Linked DNA regions of Mus musculus. The main gene of each other region encodes a partner of the protein of the gene in region 4 in a complex. Links are inferred from orthologs where the notes say so. Each region holds a gene or a part of one and is shown on either strand. Other genes may lie near its edges.

The links.
Region 1: Arvcf (region 4) and Ddx5 share a complex: the UniProt entries of both Homo sapiens proteins name them as parts of the ribonucleoprotein complex. The link is inferred for Mus musculus from reciprocal best matches to the Homo sapiens genes ARVCF and DDX5.
Region 2: Arvcf (region 4) and Srsf1 share a complex: the UniProt entries of both Homo sapiens proteins name them as parts of the ribonucleoprotein complex. The link is inferred for Mus musculus from reciprocal best matches to the Homo sapiens genes ARVCF and SRSF1.
Region 3: Arvcf (region 4) and Hnrnph2 share a complex: the UniProt entries of both Homo sapiens proteins name them as parts of the ribonucleoprotein complex. The link is inferred for Mus musculus from reciprocal best matches to the Homo sapiens genes ARVCF and HNRNPH2.
Region 5: Arvcf (region 4) and Pa2g4 share a complex: the UniProt entries of both Homo sapiens proteins name them as parts of the ribonucleoprotein complex. The link is inferred for Mus musculus from reciprocal best matches to the Homo sapiens genes ARVCF and PA2G4.

What each region holds. Positions count from the first base shown.
Region 1 is NC_000077.6:106,785,691-106,789,739, reverse strand, and holds the start of Ddx5 (probable ATP-dependent RNA helicase DDX5), read left to right. Parts: upstream 1-1,245; 5' UTR 1,246-1,423; coding exon 1,424-1,467; intron 1,468-2,665; coding exon 2,666-2,831; intron 2,832-3,195; coding exon 3,196-3,292; intron 3,293-3,380; coding exon 3,381-3,514; intron 3,515-3,607; coding exon 3,608-3,673; intron 3,674-4,049. Other genes in the region: Cep95 (centrosomal protein of 95 kDa), read right to left, coding at 363-381. UniProt on the Homo sapiens protein: Involved in the alternative regulation of pre-mRNA splicing; its RNA helicase activity is necessary for increasing tau exon 10 inclusion and occurs in a RBM4-dependent manner. Binds to the tau pre-mRNA in the stem-loop region downstream of exon 10.
Region 2 is NC_000077.6:88,045,929-88,050,177, forward strand, and holds the start of Srsf1 (serine/arginine-rich splicing factor 1), read left to right. Parts: upstream 1-1,444; 5' UTR 1,445-1,910; coding exon 1,911-2,104; intron 2,105-2,561; coding exon 2,562-2,746; intron 2,747-3,114; coding exon 3,115-3,287; coding exon of another isoform or gene 3,288-3,341; exon of another isoform or gene 3,342-3,483; coding exon 3,484-3,678; 3' UTR 3,679-4,249. UniProt on the Homo sapiens protein: Plays a role in preventing exon skipping, ensuring the accuracy of splicing and regulating alternative splicing.
Region 3 is NC_000086.7:134,604,179-134,607,560, forward strand, and holds the end of Hnrnph2 (heterogeneous nuclear ribonucleoprotein H2), read left to right. Parts: intron 1-676; 5' UTR 677-729; coding exon 730-2,079; 3' UTR 2,080-2,882; downstream 2,883-3,382. UniProt on the Homo sapiens protein: This protein is a component of the heterogeneous nuclear ribonucleoprotein (hnRNP) complexes which provide the substrate for the processing events that pre-mRNAs undergo before becoming functional, translatable mRNAs in the cytoplasm. Binds poly(RG).
Region 4 is NC_000082.6:18,346,891-18,350,984, forward strand, and holds the start of Arvcf (armadillo repeat protein deleted in velo-cardio-facial syndrome homolog), read left to right. Parts: upstream 1-1,291; 5' UTR 1,292-1,566; intron 1,567-4,094. UniProt on the Homo sapiens protein: Contributes to the regulation of alternative splicing of pre-mRNAs.
Region 5 is NC_000076.6:128,563,126-128,567,210, reverse strand, and holds the start of Pa2g4 (proliferation-associated protein 2G4), read left to right. Parts: upstream 1-1,276; 5' UTR 1,277-1,383; coding exon 1,384-1,471; intron 1,472-3,505; coding exon 3,506-3,634; intron 3,635-3,881; coding exon 3,882-3,987; intron 3,988-4,075; coding exon 4,076-4,085. UniProt on the Homo sapiens protein: May play a role in a ERBB3-regulated signal transduction pathway. Seems be involved in growth regulation. Acts a corepressor of the androgen receptor (AR) and is regulated by the ERBB3 ligand neuregulin-1/heregulin (HRG).

The DNA.
Region 1 (4,049 bases), on a different chromosome or scaffold from region 4:
TAAGTTCTGCCTTAGTCCAAACAAAGCAAGGGGAAAGAGAGACAGTCTGTGGATAGATACCCCACAAAAATTCGGATCCAAGAAAGGATCTTGACTGCTCTATATAGACAGGATGCGGGTGTCCCAGGCTCGACAAAGAGTTCCTATCTCATCCCAAGTCTCAGTTCCACGTCTGGAAACCGCAAGAGGTTTCGAGGCTGAGACCCTAAATTCATAGAACCCCCCCCCCCACCGCGCGCGCGACTGCAACTAGTGTCCGACAGTCCCGAGCCTCCGCAGCGGCGCAGACGCGGTTCAGATTCAGCCCAAGGTCCGCGGAATGCTGCAGTACAAAACCACCAGGGCTCCAGGCCGAGACTCACCAGCCTCTGAGCTGGCCATACTGCCAGGAGAGGTCGCGGCCGGACTCCAAGACGAGAGCGCGGGCGACGGTGTCCCAGAAGGGTCGAACTCGGTCGAGCCGACGGGAGGAGGAGGGGGCAGACACTAGCGAGCGGGGAAGGAGGGGTGGAAGAGGGAGGGACGTTAAAACGGCTTCTCGACGCTGATTGGACAGCAGAGGAGCACTTCCTCGCAGCACGCGCTGAGGCGGCAGTTTGCGGGCTCCAGATACCATTCCCCGCGGTCAAGATCCCGCTTACGGGTTCTCAGATCGGCGGGCAGGGCAGCCAGGTCACCCAGCAGCCCGGCCGATCTCCCCGGGGGCGTTGGAGCCGCGCTTCCGGTGAGTTGGTGGTTTGGTGTTCCTCCGCCGAGAGACCAAGCGAGGAAGTAGTGCGATCCGCCTTGCCCTGGGTCCGATCACGTGATGAGGCCAAGCTCCGCCTCCCTGGTCTCCTTCGGTTATGGGCGTGGGGGGAGTCTGTGGAGACGTAAACATCTTCAAGTAGAGTCGGTGGAATGGCTGGCGCTGGCCATTTTAAGGACCGTCTGGCCACGGGGAAGCAGCTTGTCTGAGGTGTAGCGAGACGAGAGACGGCGGTGTCGCCAAAAGGGCGTCGGGGCGAGGCATTCTAGTGGTGTCACCCAGTCGTGAAGCGAGTAATAAACGGGCGCCGGGGAGGGAGCGCCCGCCCGCGGAGGGGGAGGGGCGAGAACATGGCGGATTCCGGAACCCGGGCGGGCGGGCGTTGAGGGCCTCCGAGCCAGGGGGGCGGGGTGATTAGGTCATAGAGCGGCTCCCAGCGTGCTTTGCGGCGAGGAGGCGGTCCAGACTATAAAAGCGGCTGCCGGGACGCAGCCGGCACCTCATTCATTTCCATCGGTCCTTGCCCTCGCAGCTCCGGCCCTCGACACCACCGGCCCCTCCGCTGGTGACGCCCCCGCAGAGGCTTCGCCGTCGCCGAGGCCTTCTCTCCGCGACTCGTCGCCGCAGGATTCTACTTTCACTGGGTTCCGCCCGCACACCGCCACCATTGACGCCATGTCGAGTTATTCTAGTGACCGAGACCGCGGCCGGGATCGAGGGTGAGTGTGACAAGAGACCTGTCAGGCCGGGTGGGGGATGGGAGAGCGGCGCGGCCGAAGGCTCGCCTTCCCAACCGACCTTTAGATTTTTTTTTTTCCCTTCCTGAAAGGAGGCCTGGCTTTTGTCACACGTCCGGTTAAAAGCCGTTAAAGGCTACGCTTCGGGTAATGGCGTTCAACCTTTTTTTTTTTTTTTTTTTTTTTTTTTTTGGTCCGGGAGGGTGGGCCGGGACCCGGGGCGGCCCGGCGACCTCGCGGCTGTTGAGGGAAACCCGGAGGAGTGTTTTCGGTCGGGAAGCGCCGCGCCTTTGAGGCGGTTCCCGGCGTCGTTTGCGCAATCTTTCGTTGGGTTGTTTTTTGAGGGGGGCCCCCCCTTCCGGTATCCCCGGGGGAAAGAAGGGGCGCTTTCGAGGTCCCCTGTGCCCCGTTGGGTGGCCTACGCCGGCGGATTCGGCCATGTGGCGGAGCCGCAGCCACAAAATGCCGGCCTCGGACATGGCGGCGGCGCCTTTGTTACCCCGCCCGGCGGAGGAGCTCAAAATGGCAGCGGCGAGAAAATGTGGCGCAGAGAGAAATGCGAGACAAAGAAGGAAGCGCCGCCCCAGCGGGAACGCCGCCCGGGCCGGGACTCCTCCCCCGGTTGCTTTCGGCTCCTCCTCTTTTTCTCCCTCGCGTTATATAATTTTGTTACCTTGGTTTGCAGCCGTTCGCGGCGTTTCCCTAGACTCGGCTCGCTGGCGCCTGTTCCCCTTTCTACCCTGTCCGCCGTGCTAGCCTCGTTCAGCTGCTCACATTGCCTTTGCGGCCCCGTTATTTCTTTAAGATTAGGTCCTTTGATGAAAACGGGCAAAAATAACCTTCCTAAGCTCCTCCCTTCTTGCCCAGCTCCTAGACGCTAATGCCTAAGCTCTGTGGGGAGAGAAGATGGAGGCTCTAACTCTTGTCCTTGTAATCTGGTCAGATGTTTGGGCTGTTTGCCACCTGATAAACCCACGATGTTTATTTGGCCTCAGTAGAGTGTGCTTGGGACTTCAGAAAAGAAACGCTGCCAGTTGTGGCTGTCCTTAGAATGACAGTTGGGAAGGATTCCAGAAGCACACTTTGGCTCTATCAAAAGGCAGCAGATGAAATGTGAGGGCAAACCTGTTCATGCAGTATCTTTCACAATGTGCCCAACTTTTGTTTTGTGTGTGTGTAGGTTTGGTGCACCTCGATTTGGAGGGAGTAGAACAGGACCCCTCTCTGGAAAGAAGTTTGGAAATCCTGGGGAGAAACTAGTTAAAAAGAAGTGGAATCTTGATGAGCTGCCCAAATTTGAGAAGAATTTTTATCAAGAACACCCTGATTTGGCAAGGCGCACCGCAGTGAGTTTATAAATGTGGCTTCTTCATGCTGTAACTCAGTAACTGCTTCTAGTCAATTAGATGGAAATGTAATAGGTGCCTTGCAAATGGAGAGTTGCTTGTGGTGCACTTCCATTGAATTTTTCTTGTGATATATGGTGCCCTATTTTAATCCTGTCACTGGGGAAACAGGTTTAGCAGTCTATTGGGCTTCATAGAGACTCAATTTTCATTTAAATAAGTATTATAAATTAATTATTAATTTTTGTTGCCAAGTAGAGTTCTTATTTATGGGTCCAGATTTTTAGAAATAAGTATGTTTAAAAGTTTATTGAGCTATAGGGAGCATGGCAGAAGTCTGAGGCTGAGATAATTTGTTTTTCAGCAAGAGGTAGATACATACAGAAGAAGCAAGGAAATTACAGTTAGAGGTCACAACTGTCCAAAACCTGTTCTGAATTTTTATGAAGCAAACTTTCCTGGTAAGGACTAACTTTCATCTTTATCCTTTCATTTCCCCCCCCCCCCTTGCTTATAAATTTGTTTTTAAAATGGTATTGTTGGTTGCAGCGAATGTCATGGATGTGATTGCAAGGCAGAACTTTACTGAACCCACTGCTATTCAAGCTCAGGGCTGGCCAGTTGCTCTCAGTGGATTGGATATGGTTGGAGTAGCTCAGACTGGATCTGGGAAAACATTATCTGTAAGTCTAGGAAAACTTGATAAATTGTGGCAGAGGTGACCTTAGATATATAACTATTTTAATCCAATTTCTATTATTTTTACTCTTCAATAGTATTTGCTGCCTGCCATTGTACACATAAACCACCAGCCATTCCTAGAGAGAGGTGATGGGCCTATTGTAAGTATTATCTTAAGTTTCCCACCATATTTGCTAAAACTCCTTTGACTTTCATATAGGGAATATAGGGTTGCCAGTATAAACTAGCCACTTAAAATTAGTATCCAGCCCAGGCGTGGTGGCACACACCTTTAATCACAGCACTGGGGAGGCAGAGGCAGGTGGATTTCTGAGTTCCAGGACAGCCAGAGCTACACAAAGAAACCCTATCTCGGGGGGAAAAAATTAGTATCCAAAGACAGTTAGTTGGATCAGCCAATTATAGATACTTGTCATGAGCCTGATCAAGATCAACTACCACAAGGAGAGACCAACTTGCAAAAGTTGCCTTCTGGTTTCTCCATGTGCTTCCACACACAAAAATTTTATCCTGAGA
Region 2 (4,249 bases), on a different chromosome or scaffold from region 4:
GTCTTAATATTTAATGGTTTCATTTTAAGCAGCCCCACATCCTTGGACTGTTGTAAATAAATGATAACATCCAGGGGCAGCAATGACTCAGTGACTCATCTGGTTAAGGTGCTCCTCCCAAGCCTGACGTTTCATCTCGGGGGCTCACATGGCATGAGTGGTGAACTGCACCTTATTTTCTGACTTTCACACATGGGCCATGGCATGACCCACCACCCCAAGACACAATATGCATAACATAAAAATTAAAAACTAAAAATTACAGTATAAAGAATCACCCTTAGAACCTGTGGGGATCCGACTTAGCATATTTATTAGTGATAGGGTCGACACAGCTCTGGCTGGCCTTGAACCCTGAAATTCCGCTTCCCAAAAACTTCAAGAGGCATTTACCACTACGCCTGGCTGTCTCTATCCAATCATGAAAGGCTCTGGTTTTAGCTGGGAGGTAGTGACTTTGATCCCAGCACTCAGAAGGCAGGAACTCCAGGACAGCCAGGGGTACACAGAGAAATCGTGTCTCAAACAAAACAACCCCAAAACAAAAACAACACCAAGAAAACGTTTTGTTTTTCAATATTTTTAATAGAAAGGGTTTCCCTGAATGTCCCGGGCTAACCTTTCCCCCCGCCTCCCCTTTGGTTTTTCGAGACAGGGCTTCTCTGTATAGCCCTGGCTGTCCTGGAACTCACTCAGTAGACCAGGCTGGCCTCGAACTCTGAAATCCGCCTGCCTCTGCCTCCCGAGCGCTGGGATTAAAGGCATGCGCCACCACTGCCTGGCTCCGGGATAACCTTTACTAGAACTGTGTATAACAGGGTAGGCTGGACCCTCCTTGCCTCAGCTTCCGGAGTGATAGGATTTCAGGCACACAAGCTTAAGTCCAGATTGGTTTGCTTTTATTATAATTCGAGTTCATTAACAACACTACAAGGCCGTATGATTTCACACGTAAGGCTCTTCTATTCCCGTTATTACAAAACAAAGAAGCAAAATTGTGGTATCCAATGCAAGAATCCTTTTGCAGATAATCTTGGCAAAATAAACAAATAAATAAATAATCTCCCTAGACCAGCACAGAACCGGGATCTCGGCTCTGCAGTTAAACTGTTTTATCACTCTTCCTTTTTCATCCTTAGAAAGGAGGAAGAGGAAAACTCAAGGCACAGTTTTCATTTAGATAGATATGGAGGATCCGTCTAGACACTTTAACTAAGATGCAGCCCACCGCAGGTTCCCAGAGGCAGAAGCCACACTGCTCCGCTTCGGCTTTTAAATGAAATCACCTGCAACTCCCGCCGGCGGCACCGAAGTGCAGAAGATGCCCAGGTTTCCGGAGCAACAGCTCAGCGTCATCTATCTCCGCCCCGCGGCGCCTTTCCCGCCAAAGGCCGTTACCACCGCGGAGCATGGTGGGACACGCTTGCAAGATAGGTTTCACCCAATCTTTTTAGAGCGCCGAGCTGCTTTCAGAGAGGGTCTACCCCCGAGGTGGCCGACGATTCTGGACTCAGTGGGGATTAATAATAACCGCTTTAACCAGAGCATGTGATTTTTACTAAACGCCTGGACGTTCCAGCAGCCAGTCAACCCGCCAGGACGCGAGGGACTTTTTCCCCTCCGTGCGGAGGGTGACGTCGCGCGTGCGCGAGCGTGCTTCTCAGCACCCGTTAGAGGCGTGCGCCTGCGCACTGGGAGGGACGAGCCGCTTCCTCCGGCTTCTCTTCCTCCCCCTCCCCCCCGGTATCAGTGCGCCGAGCTGATAAAGGCGCCATTTTGGAGCGGCCGCGGGAGACGTGGTGCCGCTGAGGGCTCGCTCTGCCGTACGCTAGGCTTGGTAGGAAGGCCTCTTTTTTTTTTTTTCCTTCCCCCCCCCCGAGTCCGCGCTTTTCGTCGTCGCCGCCGCCGCCATGTCGGGAGGTGGTGTGATCCGTGGCCCGGCGGGGAACAACGACTGCCGCATCTACGTGGGTAACCTACCTCCGGATATCCGAACCAAGGACATCGAGGACGTGTTTTACAAATACGGCGCCATCCGCGACATCGACCTGAAGAACCGCCGCGGGGGACCGCCCTTCGCCTTCGTTGAGTTCGAGGACCCGCGGTGAGGCAGCGTGGGGCGTGCGCGGCCTTGAGGAGATAGCGTGGAGGAGTTGGGGAAGGCTCGGAGGCCTTGGAACATAATGGGGGGAGAGGAGGGGCTCCGAGGCGCTATCGCCCCTGCAGGAGTCGAGTCAGGAGAGCCGAGAGGCGGCGCGTTGTCTCCGGTGGCCGGCCGCCTCGGACGTCCCCCCTACCCCCCGAGCCCATGCGCAGCCCCCGGAGCGGGAAACCGAGGCGCTGAGGGCCGGCGAGGTGGTCGGGAGCCTCTGCCCGGCGTGGTGCTGGGTGGGGGAAGGGCCGGCCCTATTATGCGGCGCATGTGGGGCTCCGTGTGGCCCCGTGGGTGCGCATGTGCGCTGTGGCCGCGGCTTTTCACCCCCGGAGCGGGCGAACGAGCTGGGTCCGGCGGCTCCCTCCCCTCATCACCCCCCCCTTTCGCTTTCTGTGATCACACGCAGAGACGCGGAAGATGCGGTGTACGGTCGCGACGGCTACGACTACGACGGCTACCGGCTGCGGGTAGAGTTTCCCCGAAGCGGCCGCGGGACCGGCCGAGGCGGCGGCGGGGGTGGAGGCGGCGGCGCCCCGAGAGGCCGCTATGGCCCGCCGTCCAGGCGGTCCGAGAACAGAGTGGTTGTCTCTGGTGAGTTGACTTCGTGCGGGTTAAAATCTTTTTCCCGCATGACTGCTTTGAGTACTGCAAGGTTTTTGTTATTGTTGTTTTTGTTTTGTTTTACACACGGGGTCTTGGACTACTTCGGTCTTTGGGATGAATTTAGTAAATAAAGATTACTGTGGTGGTGATTTACCCAAATTAGGTTGCAGTACTAGCCTATGAAGATCCTTTACAAATAAATTTGGACTCTGGATCTGACTCTTACCAGCTCTTTACCTGGAAACACTTAAGTACAATCATTAAGTATTTTAAAATAATCCTTGTTCGAATGTACTTTACACGTTTGCCGTGGGACAGGATGAGTAGTATTAAATTAGGGGGAATCGCTTTTTCAGGACTGCCTCCGAGTGGAAGCTGGCAGGACTTAAAGGATCACATGCGTGAGGCAGGTGATGTATGTTACGCTGATGTTTACCGAGATGGCACTGGTGTCGTGGAGTTTGTACGGAAAGAAGATATGACGTATGCAGTTCGAAAACTGGATAACACTAAGTTTAGATCTCACGAGGTAGGTTATACACTTATTCTTTTTTTTGGCCAGAATTGGATACAGTTTTCTTAACAGTGGAATTTGAAGGTAAGGATACAGGCAAGGGTGTTCACGTAAATTACCAGAGCCCTGATCTGTCTTTGTATTCGTTCAGCTTGTCTGAAGACAGGTGAAAGCTTAGATCTTTCAATGGAAAGTTCTGTCTATCCAATAGGGAGAAACTGCCTACATCCGGGTTAAAGTTGATGGGCCCAGAAGTCCAAGTTATGGAAGATCTCGATCTCGAAGCCGTAGTCGTAGCAGAAGCCGTAGCAGAAGCAACAGCAGGAGTCGCAGTTACTCCCCAAGGAGAAGCAGAGGATCACCACGCTATTCTCCCCGTCATAGCAGATCTCGCTCTCGTACATAAGATGATTGGTGACACTTTTTGTAGAACCCATGTTGTATACAGTTTTCCTTTACTCAGTACAATCTTTTCATTTTTTTAATTCAAGCTGTTTTGTTCAGAATGGGCTAAAGTGTTGAATTGCATTCTTGTGTAATATCCCCTTGCTCCTAACATCTACATTCCCCTCATGTCTTTGGTAACTTGTATTTTAAGTGATGTCATAGACAGGATTGTTTAAATTTAGTTAATTTCCATGCTCTTCAGACTGTGATATTATGTAAATGTCTATTCTGCTCTGGTTTGTGTGAAATGGGATGTTGGGGGTGTTTGTGGTTATCTTACTTGGGGGAAGTTCTTATGTTTATCTTGCTTTTCATGTGTCTTTCTGTAGACATATCTGAAGAGATGGATTAAGAATGCTTTGGATTAAGGATTGTGGAGCACATTTCAATCATTTTAGGATTGTCAAAAGGAGGATTGAGGAGGATCAGATCAATAATGGAGGCAATGGTATGACTCCAAGTGCTATTGTCACAGATGAAATTGGCAGTATTGACCTTATACTAGAAGGCGAGGGTTAAAAATTTATCTA
Region 3 (3,382 bases), on a different chromosome or scaffold from region 4:
TACACGTAATCAACCAATCCTTCTATGAACGTGCCTTCTATGTAGTCTATGTATCTGCACTTTGTTGAGGACACATAGTTCTCCTATAGAACTGTGATTCGTCCGTGGCAGAACTGTGGACTGAAGCTGGCTCCTAAAACTTGTTTAAATGTATATTAATGTCTTCCATTTATCTCTTAGGCTTTAGTACTTCTGTATTTTATTGACTTGTATTCATTCTTTATATTTTTAGGCTATTTAATGGATTTGTTGTATTGTCTCATGAGTTTTGTTTGTCTTTTGATTTAAAGAATATTTTCATTTTTCTATAATGGGATATAGTTGTACATTGTTATATTTAGTTTTAATTTTCTCTCTGTGATGTTAATACATTGGCTCAGTGCAGAAAATTTAGAATATTCGAAATTATCTAAAGGAAAAAAGTATCCATGGAAACAAAAAAAAATTCCTATAGTACTGTTACCCAGAAATAACCACTGTTAATTAGACCTGATACATAAGAGAAATGGTATAAGCACTCGCTAAGTGAATGGATTAAAAGTTTTATGCAGTCTTTGCTCATATGGCTCCTTTGAAAAACTTACTGATGTGAACTTGTAAAATAATAGTTTTCTTTGTTTCTCTTACTATATTATATACACTTTTTCATGACAATAGTTTTCTAATTTTTTTAAAGCCACATTGAATTTGCATTGAGCCAAGCTTGCCACCAAGAGTCCATCAGTCACCATGATGCTGAGCACAGAGGGCAGGGAGGGGTTCGTGGTGAAGGTCAGGGGCCTACCCTGGTCCTGCTCAGCCGAGGAAGTGATGCGCTTCTTCTCTGATTGCAAAATCCAAAATGGCACATCAGGTGTTCGTTTCATCTACACCAGAGAAGGCAGACCGAGTGGTGAAGCATTTGTCGAACTTGAATCTGAAGATGAAGTGAAATTGGCTTTAAAGAAAGACAGAGAAACCATGGGACACAGATATGTTGAAGTATTCAAATCCAACAGTGTTGAAATGGATTGGGTGTTAAAGCATACAGGTCCAAATAGTCCTGATACTGCCAATGATGGTTTTGTACGACTCAGAGGACTCCCATTTGGCTGTAGCAAGGAAGAAATTGTTCAGTTCTTTTCAGGGTTGGAAATTGTGCCAAATGGGATGACACTGCCAGTGGACTTTCAGGGGCGGAGCACAGGGGAAGCTTTTGTGCAGTTTGCTTCACAGGAGATAGCTGAGAAGGCCTTAAAGAAACACAAGGAAAGAATAGGGCATAGGTACATCGAAATCTTCAAGAGTAGCCGAGCTGAAGTCCGAACCCACTATGATCCACCTAGAAAGCTCATGACTATGCAGCGCCCGGGTCCTTACGATAGGCCAGGGGCTGGAAGAGGGTATAATAGCATTGGCAGAGGAGCCGGGTTTGAAAGAATGAGGCGGGGTGCCTATGGTGGAGGGTATGGAGGCTATGATGACTATGGAGGTTATAATGACGGGTATGGTTTTGGGTCTGATAGATTTGGAAGAGACCTAAACTACTGTTTCTCAGGAATGTCTGATCATAGATATGGAGATGGTGGGTCCAGTTTCCAGAGCACCACGGGGCACTGTGTACATATGAGGGGGTTACCATACAGAGCCACCGAGAATGATATTTACAATTTTTTCTCACCTCTTAATCCCATGAGAGTGCACATTGAAATAGGACCTGATGGAAGAGTTACTGGTGAGGCAGATGTTGAGTTTGCTACTCATGAAGACGCTGTGGCAGCTATGGCAAAAGATAAAGCAAATATGCAACACAGATATGTGGAGCTCTTCTTGAATTCTACCGCAGGGACAAGTGGAGGAGCTTATGATCATAGCTATGTAGAGCTCTTTTTGAATTCTACAGCAGGGGCAAGTGGTGGTGCTTACGGTAGCCAGATGATGGGAGGGATGGGTTTATCCAACCAGTCTAGTTATGGAGGTCCGGCCAGCCAGCAGCTGAGTGGTGGCTATGGAGGGGGTTATGGTGGTCAGAGCAGTATGAGTGGATATGACCAAGTTCTTCAGGAAAACTCAAGTGACTATCAGTCAAACCTTGCTTAGGAAGCAAGGGACCATCCAATAACATCTACATGAATAAAAGCTATCTTTATAGGAACTGGATAGAGTAGGGAGGGTGTCTTTATATCCAGTATGATTGGTAAATGGGAAGTACAACTGCTTCTGATCACTATTGGTCAGCTTCTTTCTTCTTTTTCCTTTTTTTTTTTTTAAAAAAAAGAACAAAAATTTAAGTTTTAACAGTTTCGCATTACAAGCTTGTGATTCATGCTTACTGTAAAGTGAAAGTTAAGATTGTTTTCAAACTTTAAGCTCAGCAATTTTGAACACTGAAAATATTCATCTAGGATGTAATAACAAGTTCAGTATTGACCATAACTGTCAACTCCCCTTTGAGCTTTCCTCAAGTTAGTTATGTTGTAGGAGTGTACTTAAGCAGCAAGCATATTTAGGTTTAAAGCAGTTTCACTTACGTTAAATGTTGCTCTTATACCACAATACATCGAAAACTTCAGATGCATGTTGAAAAACATGCTTTTCTGTAAAAAAAAATATATATAGGAGCTGTGTCTATGATTCAAAGTGACAACATTTGGCATGTTTGTTAATTCTAGCTTTTTGGTTTAATATCCTGTAAGGCACGTGAGTGTACACTTTCACTTTTTTTTTTAAAGATCCGGAACAATTTTGAGATGTGATACCAATACATTAGGAGTTTGGTCATGTTATTTGTATGGAATTCTGGGGCTTTGATTTAAACCTTACCTTGTATTGTGAATTCCATTTAGATGTATTGTACTAAGTGAAACTTGTTAAATAAATCTTCCTTTTAAAAACTGGAAAAATCTTGCATAGTTTGATTTTCTTTTTTAAAATCATGTTCTATTATATGGACACACAGTAACTGGCTTTTAAAGTTCTCTGCTGTTGAAATTTTAATTTTTTTCTCAAATATTCCAGGCTATGAATGACTCAAGTTTTGATCCTCCTGCCTCTACTTCCTAAGGATTAGAATTGCAGTCATACGTCACTGTCCAGTTTATGCAGTGCTGGAGAACAAACCCAGGGCTGCTTGCATACAAGACATGAACTGTACCAACAGAGCTATATTCATAGCCTAAATTTTGATTGTGTGTTGCTAGAGGGTAGAGAACAATATTGGATCTCCTTTTCTAAATGCCCTGCCTTATTGTCTTGGTGGTAATGGGGTCTTTCACTGAGCCTGCAACTAGGCTGGCAGCCAGGAAGTCCCAGTGATCTGCCACTGCTGTACACTGCACTGGGGTTATAATCACACTGATCTTACTGGGTCACACTTTGTGGGTGACCATGGCTGGGTTGTTAC
Region 4 (4,094 bases):
AAGTAGCAATACCAACGGATTAGTAGCAACTGCCTTGACTCTGAAAAGCTCCTGGTATCAATTTGTATTGTAGGCGACCCAGAAGTGAGCTCCTGCTCCAGGCATTTACTTTCTTTGTCTTCACCAAGCAACCCTTATTGGGTGAGCACACTGGACTCAGCATAGGTGGGTGAAATATGACCATCTGGGTAGACCCCCTACACACACAAACGCACACACACACACACACCCTGGCCTCCATTAGCACTATCTGTAAGGGGCCTTGGGAAACACCGACAGCCCAGAAGAGTTGCTCATTTCCAGTGCACTCAGGATAAGAGGCTTCTGAGCAAGCACAGGCCAGATTCATTTCCACAGTCTGCACTTCCATCTCCTGTTTATGTTACAGCATCCCCCGTGGGTCCCCTCCACTGCCTTATGTCACTGCAGAGATGTGTTTGGTGTGCTTTACCTAGTAGGGAAATATGTGTTTATCTTTTCAGGCAGTGGATAAAGCTCCTTGATATTTCTCCAAGACTCAAAGCAGGGCAGAGGAAATCGGGACACCAGGGTGTAGTGGGGAAGAGATAAACACATAATTCCCCTTTCCCGGGAAGAGGACGCTTTTCATTGCCCCGGGGAAAGAGCAGTCTCATGCAGCTGTAGGGAGTGCCCAAAGGCTCTGTAAATACAGGCTTCATAGAAGAAAAAAAGCTCTAGTTTTTCTAGAGTCTGCTTTTGCCCTCAAAATCACTGCAACCATCCCCACTTTGTACCAGCCTAGCTGACCTTGTTCGTCCTTGCTGCAGGGGTTATGGGGACAGTGAGAGAGCCCCCAAGGCTGGAAGTCCAACGACTGGGTTCACGCCCTGGTTGCCTAAAGCCTCAATTTTCTATCTGTAAAATGGGATTTATCTTTACACTTGCGGAGTGTAAGATAAATACCATTCTATGCCAATAGAAAGGAATCGACGCTCAATGTCCGGTTAACAGCAGGATACCTGGGAACTTGGGGTGGAGATGGAGACAACGCTGCTGGAATCCGGGAGTGACCGCCTGCCCTGCAAGTTCCAGCTCAGGGCCTACTATCCCCAGAACTCCTCTGAAGATGGCCGGGAGGGGGCAACTCCGAGCCTCCTGCAGCTGCTGCAGCCACAGCATTCCGGGCAGGTGTCAGGGCCTGCTCTGCTAGGGGGCCGACCTGGGCTAAGACTGACAATACCAGGAACCCAACAGCAAGCCGCAATCTCTGCACATCCATCCAATCGGTGCGGGTTGCGGGGCGCGTCTCTCTACCAATGGGAAAATTCGCAGTTGGATGGGGCGGGGCGGAGGCCTCGTCTCCGGCCAGGTCCGCTTTGCGCACGGGCAGCGGGAGGGGTAGGAGGGCTAGCCTGCTTGCTGGCTGCTCCAGTAGGGGAGGAGGAGTGTTCCCCCCCTCACCTCCTCACAAGCACAAGTTGTGGCCCCGGGAGCCACTTTCGGTGCTGGGCGCTGGAGAGGCCGCTCCCCGCGCACCGGGGGACCTGGGGACGCCTGTCTTGGGGGCGGAGGCCGCGCTGCGGAGCCGCCCACGCCGCGCGCCAGGTGAGCTCGGCCGGGTGGGCGGGGTCCGGCTGTGGGCCTGGGGCTGGACACTCGGGCCCCGGCCAGGATTAGGGGTAGGTCCTGGGGGAGCGAGCTGGTATAGTGTCTAGACTGAGATGCGGACTAAGATAGGGACAGGGTCCTGGGCTCGGACTTTAGGTCTGGGTGGGGCTCGGAAGCTGGTTCTTCTGCTCACCCGCGCTCTAGCACACGACGGGTCCCCAGAGACCCGGGTGGTTGGGGGCGGGTCCCTTTGTGCATGACCTCAGGGCTCTGTCCAACCTGGCTACGGCGCCGGCTTCAGCCTCCGGGCTGTTCAGCCTCCGGGATGAACTGGACCCAGCTCCCACAGCTTTGCCCTCCGCGAGCCACTGCAGAGCCTGCAAGCAGGGACCCGACGGCTATGGAAACTTTACCAGGACTCGGGCGGCGAGGCTGGGGAACTTCCCGGGGTGGTACGGCTGTTGGTGAGCGCAGGGTCTTGGCGATGCCAAGGGAATGTCCCTACGCAGCGACGATGCTCCTAAGGCCTCACAAAAGAGAGAGGAGGCGCTGCTGGGAATCCCTTGTCTGGTGTCCCTGCTTGAATCTCCTCCCTAGATACCCCTACATTCCTCAGTGGGACACCAGCCCTGGAGAATATGCAAGTCTGGAGTTGCTCTGCTTCAGGAGGCCTGGATACCATGGCTTTCCCCTTTTAATTTTTAAATAATTAAATGCTACTTATATTCAATATTTAACTATTTGTTTCAGTGTCAGGTATCAGTGTCTAAGGTACTAGGGGACTGTCTCTGAGGATTCAGACATTTAGAAATGATGGAAAAGAAAGAAAATGCTTCTGTTTGTGTTAACTCTTAGGCTAGACTCTTAATGTGGGCTAACAATCCGAAATGCAAAACACATGCTTACTTTTATAAAGCTAAGGGATGGAGCCATACCCAAATTGTCTTTGGGAATATCTTTTCCCTAAGTAGGACCAGCTATGCATTGAGTGCCTGTAATTCCACACTGGGATCCCCAGTCCTTCTACCTCTCTTTTGGTCCAGGACCCGGGTAGTCTATCCAGAGCAAGTGTTGCCTGCTTTGGGGAGTGTCTCAGGATCTTGAGGATATACCAGGATGTTGAAGTTGGTCCCTGTGTTCTGAGGTTAAGTTTGCTTCAGAAACAGGTGGTCTAGAGAGATATTAGCTATCTGAAAAGGCCTGAACCTACAAGTTTGTGTCATCTGAGGTATTTGATGCTTCTTGTTGTCTATGACCACTTTCCATTTGGGGTCAGGCAGGAAAAACTTGGCATGATGACAGAGGTGCTTCCGAGCACGGCCAAGCCAGTGCCCACTTGGGGCCTCTTAGATGTGCCATCCTCAGCACTTGTCTGCACAGACGCTGGTGACCAAGGCTCTCCCATGTCCCAGCTGCTACACTCCTCCCCGCTCAGTCTGTGCTCTGTGGCTCCCGACATTCATTCTCTCCCTCCCCTCCCCTTCCAGGTCGCCTTTTCTTGTCCCAGGCACCCTCTGCATGGCTTCCACAGGAGCAGGGCGACGACGTACCCCATCCTTCTTTGTGCAGCACAGGGGTTCAGGCTGAGCTCCCTTCACACCACAGGAGCCTGGAGCTCCAACACATGCCTAGCTGGAAAGCCAGGGCTCTGCTCCTTCTTGGCTGGTTGTCAGGATGCACAGTTGGGGAGGAGGTAGAGATTTCTTGAGCTCTGAGGGAGATCTGAGGGCCACGTAGTCATGGGATAGTGACACCTAGACCCAGAAGGGCACTGGTAGATGGAAATGGTTTTGCAGGGCAGTCCAGACATGAGCTGTGTCCACGTGTATGAACACATCAGTGTTCATAGGAACAGTCAGTGCGTTCTTGTCATGGGTAAGGAGGGATGGTTTGGCTGGGGCAGGTACTCGTCATTGAGCAGAATGAATTTCCCTGCCTGTTGGCTGAAGGGCTCTCTGTATCTGTGATTACTGGAAGGGCACGTTCCCAGCTACTTGCATTTTCAGTCCTACCTATGCGTACAGAGCAGAGCCCAAGGCGACCCATGCAAGACTACAGCCTGCTGCGGTACAATACAGTCAGCACCGAGCAAGCTCTTACTTAGGCAGGCCATCTTGATCCAGGGTGGGCGTATGTGATCCTAAATTACCTGCCTCTCATGCTCAGTCTGGCCTGACTCAGCTTGTACCTGTGGGAACTCTCCACATAGTCAGCCTTTGCTGGCCCATAGCTTGCTGGTCTGGTGTTTAAGCTTGTACCCCAGTCTTAAGCCCCATGGTTACGTCAGTGGCATGGCGCTATAACATGGCTGCAGACCCTTCCCAGAGTCTGAGTAGGTCTGTGGGGTACAGGCAGGTAGTGGCAGTGTCTCTGTGGAGAAACCCAGTGTGTGTGCCTGGCAGGCAGGTTATGGCAAGGGTAGGCTCAGACCATCCTCGTGGGAGAACTGGAGCCTGGCAAAGCACCCGGTGGTCTTTGGCCAGGTGGGTGACCCCAGAGCCTGTAGACCAGTTCAGCAGAATGTT
Region 5 (4,085 bases), on a different chromosome or scaffold from region 4:
CCTGTTTGCATTCTAGTCTTTTTCTTTTGTTTGTTTTTTCGAGACAGGGTTTCTCTGTGTAGCCCTGGCTGTCCTGGAACTCACTCTGTAGACCGGGCTGGCCTCGAACTCAGAAATCCGACTACTTCTGCCTCTCAAATGCTGGGATTAAAGGCGTGCACCACCAGTGCCCGGCTTTGCATTTCTAGTCCTTTCTACTAAAGGGTTTTTTACTGGGGATCCCTACAAAGGAACAAAAGTGTAAACAATTAGGAACAAAACCCTAACCCCCTGATTGTTGGGAGAAAATGAAAAAGCTCAAGCAAGCCTTGGGTTGTTTTTATTTTTTCCTACACAGGTTGGGTACTGAAAACTTGAAATGATGCAGAACTTTTTTTTTTTTGTTCGAGACAGGGTTTCTCCATATAGCCCTGGCTGTCCTGGAACTCACTCTGTAGACCAGGCTGGCCTCCAACTCAGAAATCTGCCTGCCTTTGCGTGCGCCACCTCATCCCGGCGATTCAGAACTCTTAAGAGTGACCAAATCCCTCATAAACGTTTCCCTTAGATGGCCCCCATCAAAAACCACGGCTGGAACAATAGTGCTATTTTATTCTAGTCTAGTAGGAAGTCTGGCCTTTTTCTATTAGCAGGCCATGGTACATGTATAATCACCCAGACTGTCCAGTTAGTGCTCGCTTCCAGCACCCTAGGACTTCCACCTCCGCTCAGCCCCTCCCAGAGGTTATCCCAGCACTGGAGGATTTGACCAGCCAGGCCGGTCGCGCCGGCCGACAGGGGAATCCAAGGCTACGCGCACGGGACAACCGCCCAAAACGTACACACACACCCACTGACCCTAGTCCTATGGCTCCAGGCTCCACCCTGTTCCACCCTGCCCAGCGGCCTCTCAACCCTTTTCTCCCTGTAGCTCCACCCCTCCCCGCTTGGCCCGCCCCTCGCTGTTACGAGCTCAGGGTCGGCGTGAATGAGAGGTTTTTCCCGGAGAGACCACGCTTTCCCTCAAGCTCCCCAACGGCTCCGCCTTCCCGCCGGGGCCAGACTCTTCCCAGCGTGCCCGGCGATTCCGGCGTGCGCAGACTTGGGAAGGCAAGTCCTCCCAGGGCCTGGCGGACGGGCGCGAGGAGCAGGCTGGGAATTGTAGTTCTAGAGCCCGCGAGGGCGGCTGGGAACTGGCCGACAGCAGGACTCATTGTCCCAGTGTGCCCTGCGCCTCAGCCCGCGCGCTCGCAGCTTCTCGCTCTCTCTGCCCGCCCTCCCGCTCCCTTGCTTGCTCGCGCTTTCCTCGCGGATCGAAGAGACTCTAGCTACAGCCTGTGGCTGGGAAGGGAGACGGAGGCCGCAGCTCAGGGAAAGTGAAGCTGCAGTAGTAGCAGTAGGAAGATGTCGGGCGAAGACGAGCAGCAGGAGCAAACTATCGCCGAGGACCTGGTCGTGACCAAGTATAAGATGGGGGGCGACATCGCCAACCGTGAGTGCGGCCTCGGGGGTCTTGGAGTCGAGGCTGAGAGGGAGAGGTTTGGGGCTCTCTCCGGAGGGCTGTGGCGTCTGGGTCTTGCCGAGTGAGCCACCGAGGGGCGCGTGCCGACTGCCGGGGGCGACGTGGTGGGGAGATCTGGTGTCGCCCTGGGGACTGAGCAGCCATGCCTGGGCTGGAGAGTGGAGGTGCGGGCCGGCGACCGCGAGGAGTACAGAGAGGGGCCCAGGCATGCTCCGACCCTGGGCGGTTGGTAAGGAGGCAAGGCGCGTCGTCTTCTGCCCATACCCTTCGGTCTGTCCGGATCTATGCTCCCGACTGGCAGCAGTGAGGCCACCTCGAAAAGGAAGCGGCCAGCTGTTGGCGACGGAAGCGCCCCTCTGCCAGTCGCGGCTCTTGACCCGCGGGAGCTGAGCCGGCACGTGTTGCCAGGTCCCTGTGTGCGGATCGATGGCTCCCCACTTCCTCTCCTACCGTGCTTCCCCACCACGTGCTTTGCTAAAGTCTTTACTTCAGGTCTTCTTAGTGGGGACCCCCTTCGCCCCTTGACCTAGCTCGAGGGGCCGTTGGAAGACACTTCTGGAGCTTCTAAAACAACCTGGCTTTCCTGTATGACCACTGCTCCGGTTTTTGAAGGCGGCCTTTAATATTTGTTCCTAGAGCCTCTACAGTGTTTTGAGGTTCTGCTTAGACAGCTGGGCAAGCCTGTCTATAATACTGAAAAGAAGTGGAGAGAGACACGGATTTTAGGATTATAAGCATTTCTTAAATGATCTTTACTCTCCTAACAGTTGTCTGCCACTTGGACAGATAACTTTACTGTTTTCTCTTTCCAGTTCTTTCCCTCCCTTACCCCCTTATTTTTGGGGCTTTCTGTGTAGCTTTGGCTGTCCTGGTACTCCCTTAGACCAGGCTGGCCTGAGAGATCCGCCCACCTCAGCGTTCCAGAGTGCTGGGATTAAAGGTGTGTGTAACCATGCCCGGCTCTTTAACATTTTAAAAATTAAAATTCACTTGATAAAAACTGTCTTAGACTTGGCAGTGGTGGCTCACGCCTTTAATCCCAGCACTTGGGGAGCAGAGGCAGGCGGATTTCTGAGTTTCAGAGAAACCCTGTCTTGAGGAAAAAAAAAAAACTGCCTTAGGCCTTTAGAATGGACTTGACAAAATACTTGGAAGAAGGTATTTAGGGTGTCTTTGGTTACATCTTAGTTCCTCTGGAATCCAGAGAATAAAACACATAAGAAATCATCAAACCTAGAATTCCCATGATCATAAAGACATACACAAAATGATAACCTTATTTGGGGTGATGTTTTAGTATTTGCTGTTGGTTTGAATCAGACAGAATCTCCAACCCCACAGGCAACTTCAGATAATAGTTTTGAAACTGGTTACATGTGATCTTGATATACTGGAAGTAAAGTTTTAGCCCTCTGAATCTTTAAGACCTTAGGTTAATTCCCCTGGGCTTATATACTTAGACATGGGGAAATACAGCCACATAAATTATGATTACTACTTTGTGTCTGGGGAGGGACGGAGGTAACATTTAACAATGCTTCAACTTTGACTCAGCAGTTCTCTACCTCCCCATTGTCCCCGACGCCTATAAATGTCTTTTGGTCTGTTTGTGTGTGTGGAGTGGGTTGCCACAGCATCTTTGGGATGTGTGAGGCCTAAGGCCTAAGTGTCAAATCATGGAGAGGAGAGAAGCTGGTGCTGACCTTATTTTTGGAAGGGAAGGTAGGAAGTAGAGCAGGGTGTGGTGGGCTCACCTTCAGTGCCAGCACATGTGTGGGGAGACAGAGGCAGGCAGGTCTACGCTGAATTCTAGGACAGTCAGGGGTATTTCTCAAAAACAAAAACGCAGACGTTAAACATGGGTAGATTATTCCAGGACATAAACCTTTCCTCTCTCTACCTTAGGACAATGAACAGTGTTGGGAGTATGAGAAACGAAATTCAGTTTGTGGTCTGGTCACATGATGAACGCATGCAGGGCTGATGGGTTTCTCCTGTTCCCAGGGGTGCTTCGATCTTTGGTGGAGGCTTCCAGCTCAGGTGTGTCTGTGCTGAGCTTGTGTGAGAAAGGTGATGCCATGATTATGGAAGAGACAGGGAAGATCTTCAAGAAGGAAAAGGAGATGAAGAAAGGTAAGAAGGGTAAAACCCTCCCTCTTGATTTCTCCTATTTGAACCCAGCCACCTAGTTGCCCTCCCACAAACACACCCCACCCCCCCAAATCCCTGGTTAAGCTATTTGAAAATCTAAGTAGCAAGTGGGATGGGTACAGTTTCCTTCCCAGACTAAACCGAAAACCAGTCCCCTTCAACTTTTCTAAAGGGCAGGAAGTGTTCCCAGGTGAGAACAAGGCAGTAAGGTTGATGGTTCTTTTTACAGGTATTGCCTTTCCTACCAGCATTTCCGTAAATAACTGTGTGTGTCACTTCTCCCCTTTGAAGAGTGACCAGGACTATATACTCAAGGAAGGTGACTTGGTAAAAATGTAAGGCTGAGCTGTTCTGGAGTATCTGTCATTTTCCTGTGTGTGCGCGCACTGTTGGTTTCTAATGCAGTGCTGTTTTGCCTTCCAGTGACCTTGGG